Caenorhabditis elegans: one gene and its partner. The protein of the gene in region 1 interacts with the protein of each later gene in a pairwise test. Each region holds a gene or a part of one and is shown in the gene's direction. Other genes may lie near its edges.

What was found. Proteins that work in one complex are often made in the same cells at the same time.
Region 2: the proteins of rme-6 (region 1) and F31D5.2 interact in a two-hybrid assay, tested with the Caenorhabditis elegans proteins (one large-scale study listed by BioGRID).

What each region holds. Positions count from the first base shown.
Region 1 is NC_003284.9:1,094,285-1,104,069, forward strand, and holds rme-6 (Receptor-mediated endocytosis protein 6), read left to right. Parts: upstream 1-2,867; 5' UTR 2,868-2,871; coding exon 2,872-2,973; intron 2,974-3,026; exon of another isoform or gene 3,027-3,028; coding exon 3,029-3,115; intron 3,116-3,159; coding exon 3,160-3,257; intron 3,258-3,614; coding exon 3,615-3,717; intron 3,718-3,760; coding exon 3,761-4,063; intron 4,064-4,358; coding exon 4,359-4,467; intron 4,468-4,519; coding exon 4,520-4,836; intron 4,837-4,884; coding exon 4,885-5,040; intron 5,041-5,369; coding exon 5,370-5,538; intron 5,539-5,586; coding exon 5,587-6,021; intron 6,022-6,333; coding exon 6,334-6,625; intron 6,626-6,671; coding exon 6,672-6,899; intron 6,900-7,187; coding exon 7,188-7,322; intron 7,323-7,373; coding exon 7,374-7,599; intron 7,600-7,646; coding exon 7,647-7,762; intron 7,763-8,216; coding exon 8,217-8,289; intron 8,290-8,364; coding exon 8,365-8,562; intron 8,563-8,763; coding exon 8,764-8,898; 3' UTR 8,899-9,040; downstream 9,041-9,785. Other genes in the region: pigx-1 (Phosphatidylinositol-glycan biosynthesis class X protein), read right to left, coding at 1,279-1,451, 1,498-1,593, 1,641-1,731, 1,785-1,851, 1,901-2,028, 2,553-2,729. UniProt on the Caenorhabditis elegans protein: Acts both as a GTPase-activating protein (GAP) and a guanine nucleotide exchange factor (GEF), and participates in endocytosis. Acts by regulating the activation of rab-5 by exchanging bound GDP for free GTP at clathrin coated pits.
Region 2 is NC_003280.10:4,213,144-4,219,932, forward strand, and holds F31D5.2 (UNC93-like protein MFSD11), read left to right. Parts: upstream 1-2,474; coding exon 2,475-2,635; intron 2,636-3,197; coding exon 3,198-3,385; intron 3,386-3,571; coding exon 3,572-3,668; intron 3,669-3,713; coding exon 3,714-3,789; intron 3,790-3,835; coding exon 3,836-3,959; intron 3,960-4,011; coding exon 4,012-4,101; intron 4,102-4,174; coding exon 4,175-4,445; intron 4,446-4,494; coding exon 4,495-4,630; intron 4,631-4,681; coding exon 4,682-4,832; intron 4,833-4,917; coding exon 4,918-5,036; 3' UTR 5,037-5,098; downstream 5,099-6,789. Other genes in the region: F31D5.7 (F-box domain-containing protein), read left to right, coding at 42-192; F31D5.1 (UNC93-like protein MFSD11), read left to right, coding at 6,236-6,514.

The sequences.
Region 1 (9,785 bases):
AAATTTAGAATTGGTCAGTGCGATTTTTAAATTGGTCAGTGCAAATATAACATTGGTCGGTGCAAATTTAGAAATGGTCATTGCAAATTTAGATTTGGTGAGTGTAATTTGAATATTTAAAACAGTTCGAAAAATAACTGAACAGTTAAAAAAAAACTACGGATTATGAAAATTAATGTATCAAATTGTATACAGCCCATGTTGTTATTGAAAGTAAATTGACGAATGGGAAAAAACAAAACGTGATTCGACTTGTAATTGTACACAAACAAGGAATGAAAGTATTAATAACTGATTGGAAATTATTTGAATTACATGTCACATCATTTACGTCATTGTGCTCAAAAAAATGTTAAGAAGACAGAACAATAGAAAAATAATGATGATAAAATGACTCTGTATTTGGGCGTAATACACAGTACATCCGTAATGGTTAAATTTTTCTAATTTTTAAGTATATTTATTTTTGTTGCAAAAAATAAAAAAAGGTTTTCGATTTCAAAAAAAAAAAATTAAGTGACGAATGCTAAAATGCAAAATAGGCAGAATAAAAATCAGTTCCCACAAAGTCGTCATCCCTTAAAATATTAAAATTATAGTAATCGGATCACAACCAACTCCCGATCACCACGGAATTACCATACATTAACCTATCACTTTTTTTGAAAATCACACCCGGTCTCTTCCCCCCCCCCCCCCCCCCCCTCCTTTTTTCACAAAAAACGGGATCACTGGCAAATAGAGCAGCAGACAAAACAAGCACGGAGCTCTCACTTTATGAGTCATTCGGAAAACTTACGGAAAGTTCACATAGTTGTTGGCCTGTGACTCATGGTGGGAAGCAGTATAATTCTAAATGACGCGAAAAGTGTGATGTTATAAAATTTGGTAAGCTTCAGAGCATAATAATTGATAATCTGTGCAACTTCTACAAGTTTTACAGATTTTGACGATTCAGATCAAATTAAATTAATATTTTTGGTGGCCCAAATTTGATTCAAATTTTTCAGTAGTGACTGGGCTGGTGCAAACATTTTTTACAAATCTATTGTGTCTTGGAAATGTGCCCAAAAAATTGGTTGACAACACGCTTGCACATATAAAAACTGTGCTCTGCAACCCCTATAAAAATTTTTTAAATTTGTGATTTGGTCACTGCAAACACAAAATTGGTGATTGCGCTCATCAAGCTGGTCAGTGGCAACACAAAATTGGTCAGTGCACACATAACCGAAATTACAGTTGCAAATAATATTTCTTATTGAATAATCCAAAATTTTATTTTATTAAATAATACATAGAAGTGAGCAAAGTAGTAACCAGCAAAAAACACGATTCATATCCGAAATCTGCAAAAAGTTGTTCGTCTCGGAACGTTTCCAATTCCACAGGAGCTCTGCTTGGGCTCTTAACTGACAACCAGTTGGGAGATTCTGATTTTAGCCTGAGATCTGAAAAAAAACACTTACAAGTCTGAAAAATTTTTAGAAAACCCACCACGAGAAGTTTTAAGTGTTGTGCAACCTTTGAACAAATCCCCTTTGCAGTCTACAGCAATTGTTGGAACAGGGAATTTTAGAGACTTTGGGAAAGCTGAAAATTTGTCCGTGGGAATTTTCAGTCAAAATTGAAAAATAAACCTTTACTCGGCGGATGTAAATGTATCTTGATTTTTAGAAGATTCTTCATCTCAAATGTTGATAGGTAAAGCTTTTTCTTGATGGCAAAGAGCTGAACGTATGATTTTTTAATGAAAAAATTTCTAAAAAATGTTCATTGCTTACCATTTGTGAATTGGTTTTCTTTACCGGTAAAACTATAAAATCATAGCCAAACCTTGCACTTTGTAACCTGAAACTTATATAAACTATTAAAAATAATCAAATGTTTATAGTCTTACTCTCTTTCATCAACATAGACACCTTCCGGAATCTCGATTTTGTAGAGAATTCGGCATTGAGGAATTCTGGATTGAGTTTGAATGAATGCAGGTAGTTTCAGTTCTCTGTGAAGTCCATAACCGTTCACCTAAGTGTTAACTAGATTTATTACTGCAGTGGTTCTACTTCGATTATCACGAAAGTTCGAGAAGCACTGTTTCATTGCTTTACTTTGTAGATAGGCCCAAGTAAATTTTATACGGGGACCTTTCGAAAAATTAAAACAAATTAATGTTGAAATTATTGTCAAAAATTACAATAAAGAGGACAACTAAGCTGTACTCTCAAAGGATTTAGTAAAAAGGACTAAAAATAAGTTTGGAAAGTCTAATTCTATAAAATAGAGCACTGCATTAAAAATTTTTTTTTTTTGAAAAAGGAGCATTAATGTATAAAATGTTTGACACTTCTGATTGTTAAAAAAAGGTAAACGAAAAATAAAACCAGTGGAAAAATATTTTTAAAAGTATTTAACGTATATTAAAACACTTCACAACAACTTTGAAAAATATTTCTGATATATTTAATCATGTTTTTGAACATTTTTCCTGGTTTTGGTTAATTTTAAGTTTTATTTAAGACTTTTCTGTAACAATTCCTATTCTAATTTACCTTCATATCTCCATGGTTATCTTTTGCTAGCAAAATGCAACTTTGAACATTTACAATTAGTATTGCAAATAGCAGTGTGAATAAACCATCTTTGGCCACCATTTTCCCGATAATCAAGGTCCCTCCTCCGTTTGCCTTTAGGAGGAGGTGTCGTAAAGTGTGGTGCATTGTGTGCATGGCCACCGTGAACCGGTGTGCAGACCCGCGCACTCATCCTCTCTTTTTCTTTGTCTTTTCTTTTGTGTTACACCGATTTTTTTTGAAAACTGAATTTTAAATAAATTTTCTTGCTTAATTTTTCTTTTTTTTTTTCAGGTAAATGGCCGATATCATCGAGCGGATTCGGTCTCAGGACGAGTATCGGGAGTTTTATGAGTTGGCCACCAAAATTCGCAATCAAAAATTGCTTACGGACGCTGAGGTAGGAATTTTGAAGTTTTTAAAAGTGATTTCAAATACAAATTTCAATTTTTCAGCTCCACTCTCTGAACAGACACCAACAAGAAGTATCGGATAACGAAATTAAGTTGCTCACCGAGGCATGGAGAAGCTCCTACTGGAATGTAAGTGTTCTTGATGATTAGGATTCCCACTAAATATTGTTCAGAACGTTGGACGTCAGCTCAAAAACCAGGCACTCGAGCCAACAATTGCATGCAGGCTTCTCAAAGAGATTAGTGAAACTGAAGCTCTCCCAGCATACAAGTGAGTAAAGAAAAGCTGAGCTGCAACCGACATTTTCCGAGTTTTGCCAATAAATTGAATTTATATGAAGTGTAGTGAATGACAGAAATTATCGGTCGAGTTGCACCATGTCATAAAATATTGGATATGTCGATTTACGAACCTAAATTTTTTAATTAATACAATTTTCGATAACTGAAACTTAAATGAGCAAAATAATTTTCATGCCTAAAACCATGAAAACCAGAATGATCACTTTAACATATTGCCCGTAAACTCACATAAAATATGACTGGAAAATTTAAAAAGACCACTATTCCGAAAATGCCATACGAGCCAACATAACAATACAGGAAAAATGCAAATTAAAAAATTCAGGCACGTCGGGCATCACTTTTCCACTCTTGACCAATTGCTGACAATATTGTACAATGAGCCCCAGTCGGTCGCCGAACTATTGAATAGCATTGACAGAAATGATGTGAGTTTTTCCATTGTTTCAACACATTACCTATAATTTCCAGATTACATCAAACGACTCCACAATTCAAGTACTCTTCCACCTCGTCTACTCGTGCGCTCTGTACCCAGAGGATGAGCTCAAGATTGCACAAGTTGTGTGTAATCTTTTGAAGCTTCAACTATACAGATCTGGCAGTGAGATGAGGACAATTCTGCGGAAGGAAACTTCCATATCAACGAGATTCTACAAGCATTTTGTAGAACTAATACATCCGACAATGGTATATCTAACAAAAGCTTTGAGGAAAGGGGTTTTGGATGTTATTCAGTTGGGCAGCTTTTGGTTGGATATCGATGCAAAACAGGTAAATTTTATGATTCTGCACTGACCAAAACTAGGATGTGGAAAAGCTTATACAGTAACCACAGAATTCGGTTCAAAAATTGCACTGACCAAAATAGTGTTACTAGCTGTTAAAACAATTGTTAGTGTAGTATATGTCATCCACAAAATACTTAAAGTTTCATTTCAAGCTCTGTAGGCTTGAAAAGGCTTGACAATTTGTTTAAACAATTTCAATTTTAAAAACCTGGTTTTGGTTTAGCTGCTGGAAAAAAACTCACTTTCAAGAGAGCTTTTCATACGTCTATATTTTTCAGTCCACGGCTCGGTTCTTACGTGATAACAAGCAGAATGAGGATCGCCTACCCGAATACAGAGCTCTCGTTGTTTCCAAGCTAGTCGATTTTGTTGACACTTTTCTGGAAAGTGAGTTGTTTTCCGCCAAACAGAACAAATATAAAATTTTCAATGCATTTAGATATCTCGAAAGCTCTGCCAATGCTTCCACCAAATTTGAATTGGATCATTCGAGACATATTCTGCTCGCTGTACGAGGTGGTCGATGATGTGTCAGCTATTGAGCTGAGTCATGCTTGCAAGGATATGATTGTTTCAAACCTCATTTGCCCGGCAATCATCAGTCCGCAAAAGTTTGGAGTTGTGGATAATGATGTCAGAGTTGGGACAATTGTAAACCATAACTTGGTTCAAATCGCGATGATTATCCAAATGATTTCATTGAGGGAGTTTGAATCGCCGCCGGAAGAGTACAAAGAGTTTTTGAGCCAGTGTCGGGTGAGTTGTCTTTGGAATTGATACTGCTCTCAACTAGAAGCTTTTCAGAACACACATCTCATATCAGAAATGATGGATGCTTTACTTGTGGAGAAACTTGCTCCCGACGTTGAGATCACGTCGCTTATCGCGAACGGGACTGCTGAATCGGATATGGCTACGAAATCGAGTTTTGTTGGAACTGTGGCGGATGTTAACGTTTTGGTGAGTCATCCCTAATATCAAAATTTTATGAAAGTCTAGACAAACGCTCTTATTGTCAAGACCCAAAAGTGTTAGGCTCGAGGGACGTCAGTTTTAGAAATAGGCTAAAAAACAGTGATAGGAAAATCAGTGATGATGTTGGTTTCAGACAAAAAAGCTACTAGACTTAAGTCAAAAGATATCAGGCTATAGACCCAAATCCAAAATCTGTATGGCTATCTTAGTCAGCTAAAGTGTTGTATACCCTCCAAAATTTCACCAGGTGGTAGGATAAGCCTGGAGGTCTTCGAATATAGAAAAAAAGCGAAATTTCTAAATTTCAATTCCAGATTAAAATTATTCGTAATGCACCATCAACTTCTGACGCGAAGCTCTCAAGAATTTTATCAGTATGCGACAAGCTTCCCGCCACAATCAGCTCCACCACTCAAAAGTCACACTTTGACAACCTAGAGGCTTCACCAAAAATATCAACACTTCGTAATATTCATCGAAAAGGTATACACCCAAATGGGAACTTTTTTCATAACTGACACTTTTTTTCAGTTCAACACTCATTCAAACGAACCGGTGACTCTTTCAACGATATCAATGAGCTCGGAGCAAAACAGGGAGAAGCACTAGCTTTTGGAAAAGAGAACTTTGATTTGTTCTACTTAGAGTATAGCCCCAAAAACTACAAAGACGTTGCGGAAGCTGATCGTCTAAAAAAGAAGGCCGAGGAAAGGAGACAGTTGGCTGATTTGGAGAAGCTTCTGGAGCCAACTCCAGCACCGAAGGAGACTCCAGTGGAAAACAATCTTATTGACTTTTCGTCTGGTTCAGCTGAAACTAACAGCGAACATCTCAGTGACTCAACATCAGTGTCCCCCGAGCCTCTCACATCTACAGAAGAACTTCAGATTGGTGATCAAGGAGTTGGTGGCGAGCAACGAGGAAAACTTGCTAAACTGAAAAGTTTGAGCGATAGGATGAAGAAGGGTAAGAAGATTACTATTTTACTAAGTTGAGCTAATTTTTTTGGGAAGTACCAGGCAGAGCGGATTACCTGCGTAGTTAAAGTTCGAGTAGTGAAAGGACGCAGAAATTGAACTGTTGGAGAATTTCGGCATTTAGAAGAAATTACCATTTTCCGGCAATCTGTGATTGCTGAAATTCCACGCACCTCTGAAATACGTGGTTGAAAAACTGATTCTTAACATTTTAAAATGAACTTTAGTCCTCCCACTTTCAATTAGCTTTCAGTTCCATCCAGCGCGAATTCTCAAACATACATATTAGCTAGAGTTTTAGGAATCACACAATCCAACACCCTATCCGACATCCGTGAGCACCTCCGTCGTTCGGGATCATTTGTAAAACCACCTCCGTCAGGCATCCCCACTAGCAGCAGTGAGCAAAACCTACCAGACGTTGCTACAGGTCCACGTGACGATATTCTGGCTAAGTACGCGTCGATATCATCGATTAAAGAGCAAAAACCAGCGCTCGGGAATCTAATTGATGGCACTGCCTCTGCCTCATCGACTCCGAGAAAAGAGCCACTGGAGCCGTATTATTCGTCTGAAAATCTGGTTGGTTGTCGGTAAGTTTTTTAATTCATCTATATTATCCAGATTATGGTGTTTCAGGGCTTTTCAAGACACCCTTCGAAAAATGATCACAGTTCTCGGGAACATTTCCTACTTGCCAAGGATCGGGTATCGCAACGAGACAAAGCAAAATGAGTGGGACAAGAAAGTGCTGCTTGGGAGGTTTTTGGATGGAGTCCTCGTGGAAACTGAGCACAGGAGAGAGTACGGGCTTGCGGCTCAGTTGAGAGAAGTCAAGCGATGCATCGAACTCTTTGAGCACGCTGGGTAAGAGCGGGAATGAAACTATTCGAAAAACATTATTTCAAGCAGTGAAATACGCGATAGAAACAATCTTCATTTTTATAATGGATGACATTTTTCGAAGGTTCATACAGGCTTAAGCTTAGGCTTAGGCTTAGGATTAGGCTCAGGCTTCGGCTAAGACTGAGCCTTAGGCGAAAGCTTTGGCATAGGCTTAGATTTAGGTCAAGGCTTAAGCTTAGACTCTTTTCATACTAGCCAAATTCCATATCCTCAGTATTGATTTGTAGATGAGACCTTTAAAAATTTCAGCGTTGAAATCCTCATGGACCATTTGAAATTGAATGAAGCTGAGCAGGACAAAATCGTAAATGGAATGCGTGAGGAACGTGCTTCACTAATGAGAAAATCGAATGATATCTCTTCGTTGGAGCAAAGAGTTTTGTTGTAAGCATCCTTCCTTTATCTGTAAATTTTCATCGATTTTCATTATTTTAGAAACCGCCGGCTCACCGAGCAAATCCTCGTTGATTTCCTCATGCGCACTTTTCTGGAAACGGGCTTCAACAACAAGCACACAGTTGGCAAAACTCAGGAAGTGACGGCCGTGCTCAAGTTTTACGACGAATTCAAATACCTTCGAGCTCAGGATGAACGTGCCGAGTTTTTGAAGAATCTACTCACATTTTTGAGGGATCGCTTGATGCAAAACGTGGATTGGAATGTAAGGAAGCTAGTATAAAGAAGCTAGTAATTTATAAATGGTTTCAGTTTGCCACGGATACAATGATGTCGCGAGCCATGACAACCATCGAGCGTTATGTGATTTTTGCGGTTTATGATAACGCATTCTACCCGAATAGAGATGCGGATCATCACAGAGACAAGTGAGGATTTTTTGAGACTTGGGAGCTTTCAACAAGTGTAATAGCTAGAAACTGTGATGAAAAATTTGGCTTACTCTTGAAGCCATGCTCCAGAAATTTTGTGCAAAAATTGTGGCTTTTAAGCTTAAAATTGCTATTTAATATTAAGGGAGGGGGGCAGATAGCTCAGTCGGTAGTGGTGGCCGCTAGCAGTCTGGAGGTCACGAGTTCAATTTTGGCCTCACCCCCTAGGTTCACCCAGCCTCTATTGGGAAGTGGAGCAATCCACGACTGGATTAACGGCCACAGCCCCCGGCTAGGACGTGGCTTAAATTACAGCTCAGAGGGATCACCACCAGGCAGTGTACCTGAATCCCAGATCCGCAGTGCATAGCACTTGAAGAACGGATCGTCCTTTAATCCTTTTTTTAATCGAAAACCAAAACTTGAACAATAATTCATGTTATTTTCTCAGGTTGCTCCGTGGAACCATCGCCAAAGTTTCTGACGTAGTCACGCCGGTCAACGACTTTTTGAAAATTCCAGAAGTTTATTTTTTATTATTTGTTTTTTATTGAATTGAAAAAAATTGACTAACATATTGTACACAATAAAAATTGCAGCACCTCCACGGTGAAGCTCCCTGGCCGTCTGCTCAGGCGGAACTCTCAATGCTGGATATTTATGTGACTGCTCAGGACAAGCTCAACTGTGTGGTCCGATGCTGTGACGTCATCAACAACCTGGTGGCGTTGTCTTCGAAAAACGCGGTCGCATCCGCAGATGACCTCACACCGGTTCTAGTTTTTGTGATTATTAAGGTGAGAGAAGCAGTTGAAATTTCGTTTTTGTTTTGGAAAATATTTTAAATTTAATTTAAAATTTAGGCTTCACCGCTGCAGACTATAGTAATAACTAAAAAGCTGTCAGTTATACATATATCTAGTTAAAACATTTATGTAGTTGAACTTCTTTTTTTTAAATTTCGATATTAGCTTGAAGCTTTCAATTTTCATTTCCAGGCGAATCCACGTGCTCTTCTGTCTAACGTGCAATTTGTTGAAACCTTTGCCGGTGACCGCATCGAGTCGGGACGTGATGCTTACTACTGGGTCAACTTCAAGTCGGCTGTTGAATATATCAAGACAATTCTGTGATTGTATATTTTGAACCAAATTATTTTTTTTTGAATATATTTTATGGGAACACTTTCGTTCCGCAGCAAACTCAGTTTTTATTGTTATGTGTATACTTATTTATTACAGCTAATTGCGAAGAATGAATGTTTGTAGATGTTCTTTTGAAACTAATTTTAAAAAATAATATCACAATTTCAGTATTAGCGTAAAAAGCGTTAAAACTTTTTTTCATAGCTCTAGCACACGTGTAATTGTCTAACTTACCCGAGTATCATAATAACATTTCAACAATTCGTAGATTTTTGGAAAATTTTCAGTTGTGGCAAATCGCTAAGTTCTCCAGAAATGAAGCCTTTTTGAAAATTTTTGAGCATCACTGTAGAAAATATTTGTTGTCAAGCTTAGCTTGGTGCTTAAAAATCTGACTTTGTGCTTGCTTTACACCCTGCTCCACTTAAAACAATTTTTTTCTGTTGAAAAATTTTTTATGCAGCATGTGAAGGGTTTGGAAATTTTTCCCGGCTGGCGATATTTCACCTTCAAGCCCGGGAGCTTATCCCACTTTAAAAGATCAAACTTTAAATTTATGCTCTAAATTCAAGAGAAAATATGTTTCACTTCACTTTGGCCAAGAAACATATTTACTAATGCATAAATAACGTTTCCCCTTTTCCGTGGTGCCTCTCTCTCTCTCTCTCTCTTGTTGTATGCGCAGATCAATAACGTTCGCCCCGTTGCCCCAAAACCTCTGCGTCTCCCCAACCGTCAATACTGTTTCACTTCAAGAGACTCAGAGGTCGTTTGTATGTGCTGCTATCCTCAACAGCCCTCCCCTCATCTTTTCACAACCACCATCGTTCCTCGTTTTATGTATTTGTATCAAAGCGATCGAGATTTTGTGGACT
Region 2 (6,789 bases), on another chromosome or scaffold:
AGAAGCCCTTACAAAATTTCTTGACAAAATTAAGTTTACAGAGTCGAACATACCAACACAGTCGTACGGATCCAGATGGAAAATCCCGAAAAACACGTTGTTCTAACAGCCAAGTGGTATCCTCGTAATCTTGCTGGAACTCTCTTTGGATACGGCACTCTTAAGATTGTTCCGGCAGATTTAGCAGTTTAACATTTTTAACAATTTGATTTAATTTTTTTGCCATTCGTTATCTCTGAGCTTCCAATTTCACCCATTTCTTCTTTTTTGTTGATAATTTTCAGTTTAATAAAAGTTGATAAACGGTTAGAAGTTCTCGTTTCTTGTGACTGGAATTCAGAAATTTAAGAAATTCCAAACTTTCTTTGAGTTGAGTCTACACCTTTGAAGTATTGCAGGAACACAAGAGGAGGCATTTTTTATTGTGTTTATAAAAGAGTTGAACTTTAAAATTCCCGTATACTATTTCCTTTTATGTTCAGGTACCGGTTTTCTATGACAAATATCAGCAGTTTGTATGGGGTTTTATAGATGTGTGTTCAGATACTTTTGGATATTATAAGTGCAAACGAGTGCAGTACGGCCGGTGAGGAAATGATTAAAAACCATTCCTATGGTGCTAAACATCCACCTGTCGTAACAAAATTTTTTTGTTTAAAGTTTTAAAAATTTTTTATTGACAGGTCATTTTTGAAACAAAATTTTAAAAAAATTTCAAATTTTTTTTGGAAAATTTTACTATGATTTTTGACCATTTTAGCACTATAGGAAAGGTTTACAGAGTTCAGGATCCTGATGATCAAAAACCGCAAAAATATTATTCCTAAAAACGTTTACAGACAATAAAGTCCCGGCTTATGCTCATTTTTGAAGTTTTTGAAGGTAGCCAACAACTTCCGGGTAAACATATTGTTACATAGAACAGGAGTTTTTGTGAAAGTGGAATGTTTAAAATTTTAATGAAAATATTGTTCTAGCTCCCTTTGAATCAATTCATTAGTATTTGTTCAGCAGCAGTGAGACCGAAATCGACAAGTAGTTTTCCATTTCCTGATCAATTTTGAATGGAAAACTTGTAAAATTAATTAGTTTTGAGAACCGCGGGCATTTTTTTTTGGAACAAATGAAATACATCAAAAATTTGACGTAAAAGCAGAAAAACTATATAGATAGAATTGGTTAAAACCGTTTGAATAGAGTTTCAAAATTTTTAGGTATTATTGATTTTGAGTTGTAGTCTAGGTATACTCTAGTCAGGCGAGGTCTGCGTTGTAGGCAGGCAGGTACTTTTTTACCAAGTTGTAAGCTGTAAAAACCTCTAGACAATAAATAAGAATTTCCGATTATTGAAATATTTCAAACAAATTGAAATTTTTCCGACTAGAATTTTAATTCCAAAAAAATGTGTTTCTAGATAATTTTATGGAAAACAATTTTTATATCACAGTTATGTGATTTTCGACCGAAAATTATATCAAACTTTGATCAAAATTTCTTCAAAAATAAAATGAATTGCAAGAACAAAAAGAAAGAAGACCATCGGAAGTCTCATTCTCAATATTATTTCGCACATTAAACCGTCCGTTCTGATGGTTTTATGATCATTGTTTTGGCATTTGGCCGCCCCCCTGGTCTTCTGTGTCTCGTTTCAGGCGGAAAATATTGAATGAAATTGGGGATAGTTATTCGAAATTCATATAATGTTCACTTTCTATTATTATTGTTATCCCGTTTCTTTTTCTGTGTGTACATATATGTTTGTACATTGTGTATCACTTTCACTGTCACCTTATCATATCATCATTTTAAAGATTGTTTTTTTTTGTTGAATATTTGGGTCAGAAATTGATTTCTTTTAATATATGTTTCATTATAACAACCTTTAAAAAATATTTTCAACAATCCTATTTTTCTATTTGTTTCTCATTTTTTTAAAATAAACGTCGATGCAAATTTTATGATTTTTTCAGTCTAAAGTTAAAAATTAACCGAAAAATTTAGAACTCAGGTAGGCACGTAGGGATTTGATGCAGGTCGGGGCACGCTGTATTTAAGTGTAACGTTCTTCGAGAATTTTTTTTTCTTAAATTTGGTCTCAAATTCTTAAAAAAAGTTTAGACTTTTACCGATTCAAATATGTAGTTTTTAATCTGAAAATTACAGAAGTCAAAGTTCCAAACCCTAACCCAAATGCCAATTATAATTTACGAGTTCATGTTCATTTTTTCCTTTAGAAAATCCTTAATAATCCCAAAAAAATCACAAACCCCGCCTTTTTTTTTTCAATTTTCCGTTTCTCCTTTGCCACCCACATTATTCGTTTTGTTCCTCGTTGTTCAATTTTCTCTCTTTTCCCATCATTTTTGTGATCGCCTTTCACAATTGTTTTTGAGTTTGGAAATGTTTTATTTATCATTTTGATAAATGTTAAATATTTCCGAAAATTAATAGCAAAAAAAACTTGAAATTTCCAGATGGTGCTTCTGGATACGGGAACAAAAAATGTGATACGACTATCAGTTTCTTTTATGCTTTTGTTTTTTGCATATATGAGTCAAGAGTTTATACAGGAGCCGTTAATAGAAGAAGAGCACCGAAGAGGAGGAAATATTGATCCTCATGCCGGATATCATAGGTAAGTTGTGAGCAGGCGTCAGCAGGCGTCAGCGGGCGTCAGCGGGAGTCAGCGTACGAGTTTTGTACTGTATGTTTGCTTCAAACGTTGCAAAATCAAAGAAGCAATGTTCATAAACAATTTTTGTGAAACTGCGAAAATCTCAGGGGATAATCTCCAAAACTCACTCACTTTTTTTTTGGTAAAAAAGCAGTTGCAGAAAAATTGTTCTTTTGGTTTTTCTTTTCAATTTTAGTTCAAAGTTCAAACATAATAGGTTCGTGTGTACGTAGGCAGGCATTTTGGCAGGTTTGCCTATCACTTGCCTGCCTACCTACTCGCCTGCCTACTTAAAATATTTTAATACCAAAAAGTTCAATGCAAACATATTTTCAACTCTAGAAATTTGAACATTTGCATAATCTATCGGTCATCTCGTTTTTATAGTAATTGGGAAGTCTACGGTTTTAATCTGATTATCAAAACAATACTAACACCAGAGATCATAACGGGTCACAATTTGTAGAAATATCAACAAGCTCTATGAATAGGGTCAACATGATTTCAAATTGCTTATTTTCAGTTTCGCGATTCTCTACTTCTTCTTCACCATTGCCTGCCTACTGATTGCTCCAGTGGTTGACTTGATAACTGCGAAATGGTCGATGGTTGTTGGATTCTTCACGTACATTGCATTTCAGTTGGGATTTCTTGAATTGAACAGTGCATACCTGTACACCACATCGGCTCTTTTGGGAATTGGAGCAGCTTGTGAGTTTTTTGAAGTTTTGGCTGAAGTACTTTACTTTGGTAGTAAATATCTCGGTTCATTTTGGAGATATCAAAACATTTTCAACTATGGAACTATAGAAAAAGAAATTTTGAATATTTTCTCAGTTGAGAACTTTTTGATATAAAAAAGGAGAATTGAGATATAGGCTGACAAAGAAATTTCAGTCCTTTGGGTTGGTCAAGGAAAGTACCTCACGGAAAATTGCACAAGTGAGACTATCGAACGCAACACTGCTCTAATGTGGCTCATTTTCAAATTCAGGTATGTTTTACTTAGCCTAACATCTAACAAATTATATAATTTCAGCCTCCTAGGCGGCGGGGTCTTCCTTTACTTCATGTTCCAGGATCAAACTATGCACGAGCTGGTGCTAAGTGGAGATGTAAATTTTTCAGTTAAAAATCTATACTGAATATTCAAATTTTAAGTTCAAAATCTTTGTCTACGTGTTCTGTTCCATCTCGGTAGTTGCTGCAGTCAATACTGCATTCCTTCCAGCGCCGGCGTATGTACCAGAGAAGAGGGAAGCAGTTACATTAGCCGGAACATTGAGTTGGTCCAAACTTTTTGAGTTTTACGTTACTTTTACGTTAGTGATTTGCAGAAGTAACATTCCGGTTAATCCGTCAAACTCCGATGCTCCTGCTAGCGTTTATTTTCTTGTACACCGGGTTCTCCAGGTCGTTTTGGATTGGTAGGCAGGCACATAGGCTTCATCTCAAACCTTACAGCAATCTACCCGACCTACTTCATCTCAAACCTTACAGCAATCTACCCGACCTGCATCAAATTCACCTCCAAACTCGGAGAAAACACCACAAAACTTCTAGCAATTAGTGGAATTGCAACCGGGATTGGGCAAATTGTAGCTGGTGGAATATTTTCAGTACTCGGAAAACGTGTCAGAATACTCGGAAAAGATATGATTGTAGTGATTGCTTGTGTACTTCATTTGATATGTTTTGTATTGATTTATCTGTTCTTCCCATATGATGCACCACTACGTCCTACACAGAATGTTGGGATTTTTGAGCCAAAGTTTGTATTTTTTGGGAATTTTTAAGTTGAACAATTATGGATTTTTCAGTGCCTACATTGCAATATTCTGCTCTGGGCTTCTTGGTTTCGGCGATGCAATTATTCAGACTCAAGTCTACTCGTTCCTCTGTGACGGGTACTCTGAAGAATCGTCTCACGCATTTGCTCTATTCAAGTTCTACAGTGTAAGTTTCAACTTGAAGGGTCTGTCTAGGCTCATATATACTAAATTTCAGGCCATATCCTCCACAATAGCTTTCTTCGTATCAAAATACTTTACCTTGGCCGGTCATCTTCTACTTTATGGAGCTTTTGCCATTCTATCAGCCATCGCAGCAGTCATGGCTCAAAAGCTATATTTCCACAAGACACGGCATTTCTTTCAAGGTTTGTTTTATTTTTTGACAACCTAGCGGCTTGCCTACCTATCTGCCTACCTACCTACAGCCTGCCTACAACCTTAATATTTCAGAAAACACAAAAATCCACCCTGCCATCGAATCTGAGCCAATAAAAATTCAAATCAGTGAGAGCGGATCAACGATAGAGTCTTCGGAGAAAACGGAAAGAAAAATTACTGATTTAAATTGATTTTTTTTTGCATTTTCTGAATAATACTTTGACATAATTGATATTAATAAATAATACTCGAAACTTTATCAGACTCCACCTATATTCTGACACTACAACCTGTACGGTGTCTGCAATATTTGACCAATTTTGGAAAAAAATGTTGCTTGTTTCACAAATATGAAATTTTCCACGTAGCGTCCGGAATGTTAATCCCTATTTTTTATACGTTTTTTTACAGTTATGTTCTGTGATTGAGAGTCACGACGCCAAAATAGTTACTTTAACCGTACATATTTCCGCCCTGTGATACTACAAAAAGCGAAACAATTTTTTTAAACAATATTTATTGAATTTTTTCTGACTCTTCAATTAATAACAACACTAATTATTTGATCCGTTCATAGACTTTTCCCATCTGTTTCCATATTTCAACACTATTTTTATCACCAGTATTTTCCAGATACCTTTATTAAAAGTAATAAATAATGTTCAAAACTTTACATCAGACCCCACCCATATTCCAGCACTATATATTGCGTGTCAATTCTCGGCGGACAAAAAAAAATGCAATGTTTAACTAGAAGAACACATTCTTTTGAAACTTCTTTGGTATTACCTTTAGTGTATTTTTTCCTCTTTTCTTCTTTTTTTTCAAGTAAAAAAATTCCACAATTATTGGAGTGTGTAGACTTGAGTAACATTTCTGCTTCACAAGCGACCTACGCCAGCACAAAAAAAAGTAGGCTGCAGCCAGCAACGAAAGGCACGTCGTTGGCAAACAGGCATGATATGTAGGCAGGAAAGCAGGCGTAGGCAGGTAGGCATGGTGTGCCTGTCTAGCCTGAAAATAGAGTCTCCTGGCCTTTTTTCACAATTTTTCAATTTTCTTCCAAAATGTAAACATTTGAACCTTTTGGGGTTCTATGATATGCAAATATTGTCAGTTGTGGGAAACTGTTTGGAATTTACAGTTCAAACAGTTTTGTAACTTTTTTCTGGAATTTTTCTTTCATTCATTGTCAGATTTTTTTCCATAATTTTTTGTCTTAAACGTTCCTAATTGTTTTCCCTTTTGTTCTCCGATTCTTTGAACAATAAAAACATTTTTAAAACCCCATTCAAAAGGAAAAGTTTATATTAAAAAGGTTTCAGTTTTTGTGTGACGTTTAACTTTTCCATTTTATAAAACATTTCAATATCAGGTGCTTGAAATCAAAATGAAGATCTCCACTGAGACCACAAATGTGCTCCGGCTCTCCATCTCCATTGTGATCCTGTTCTCAGCTGTCCTAGCCCATGAATTTATTATGGAACCGCTGATCGCCGCGTTGGCAACAGCTGGACGTGGTGGAATTGAACATCGCGATGGGTATCTGGCACTTTGTTTGATCTACTTTTTCAACACAATTAGCTGCTTTTTTGCTCCATATGTGGTGTCCAAGCTCTCGGGGAAATGGGCGATGGTTGCTGGTATGATGACGATTATTATTGTCCATGTAAGCAGGTTTTTGCAGGCGTAGGCGCATTCTTAAGATGGTTTTCGGTCAGGTAGTACCATCAGGAAGTTCGCCAAATTTTTGATCAGTTTTCTCCAACGAATATGAAAATTACCCAATTGCCTTGTAGAATTGACGCAAATCAACTCGCATTCATTTTTAGTACCCCAGATGAATTTGAGTTTATGATGTCAATTATTGCGTGTCACTTTCTGCAAATTTTAGTAGAGCTTCAGAGAATAATGTTTTAAAAGTTATGAAAATGAAAAAAACAG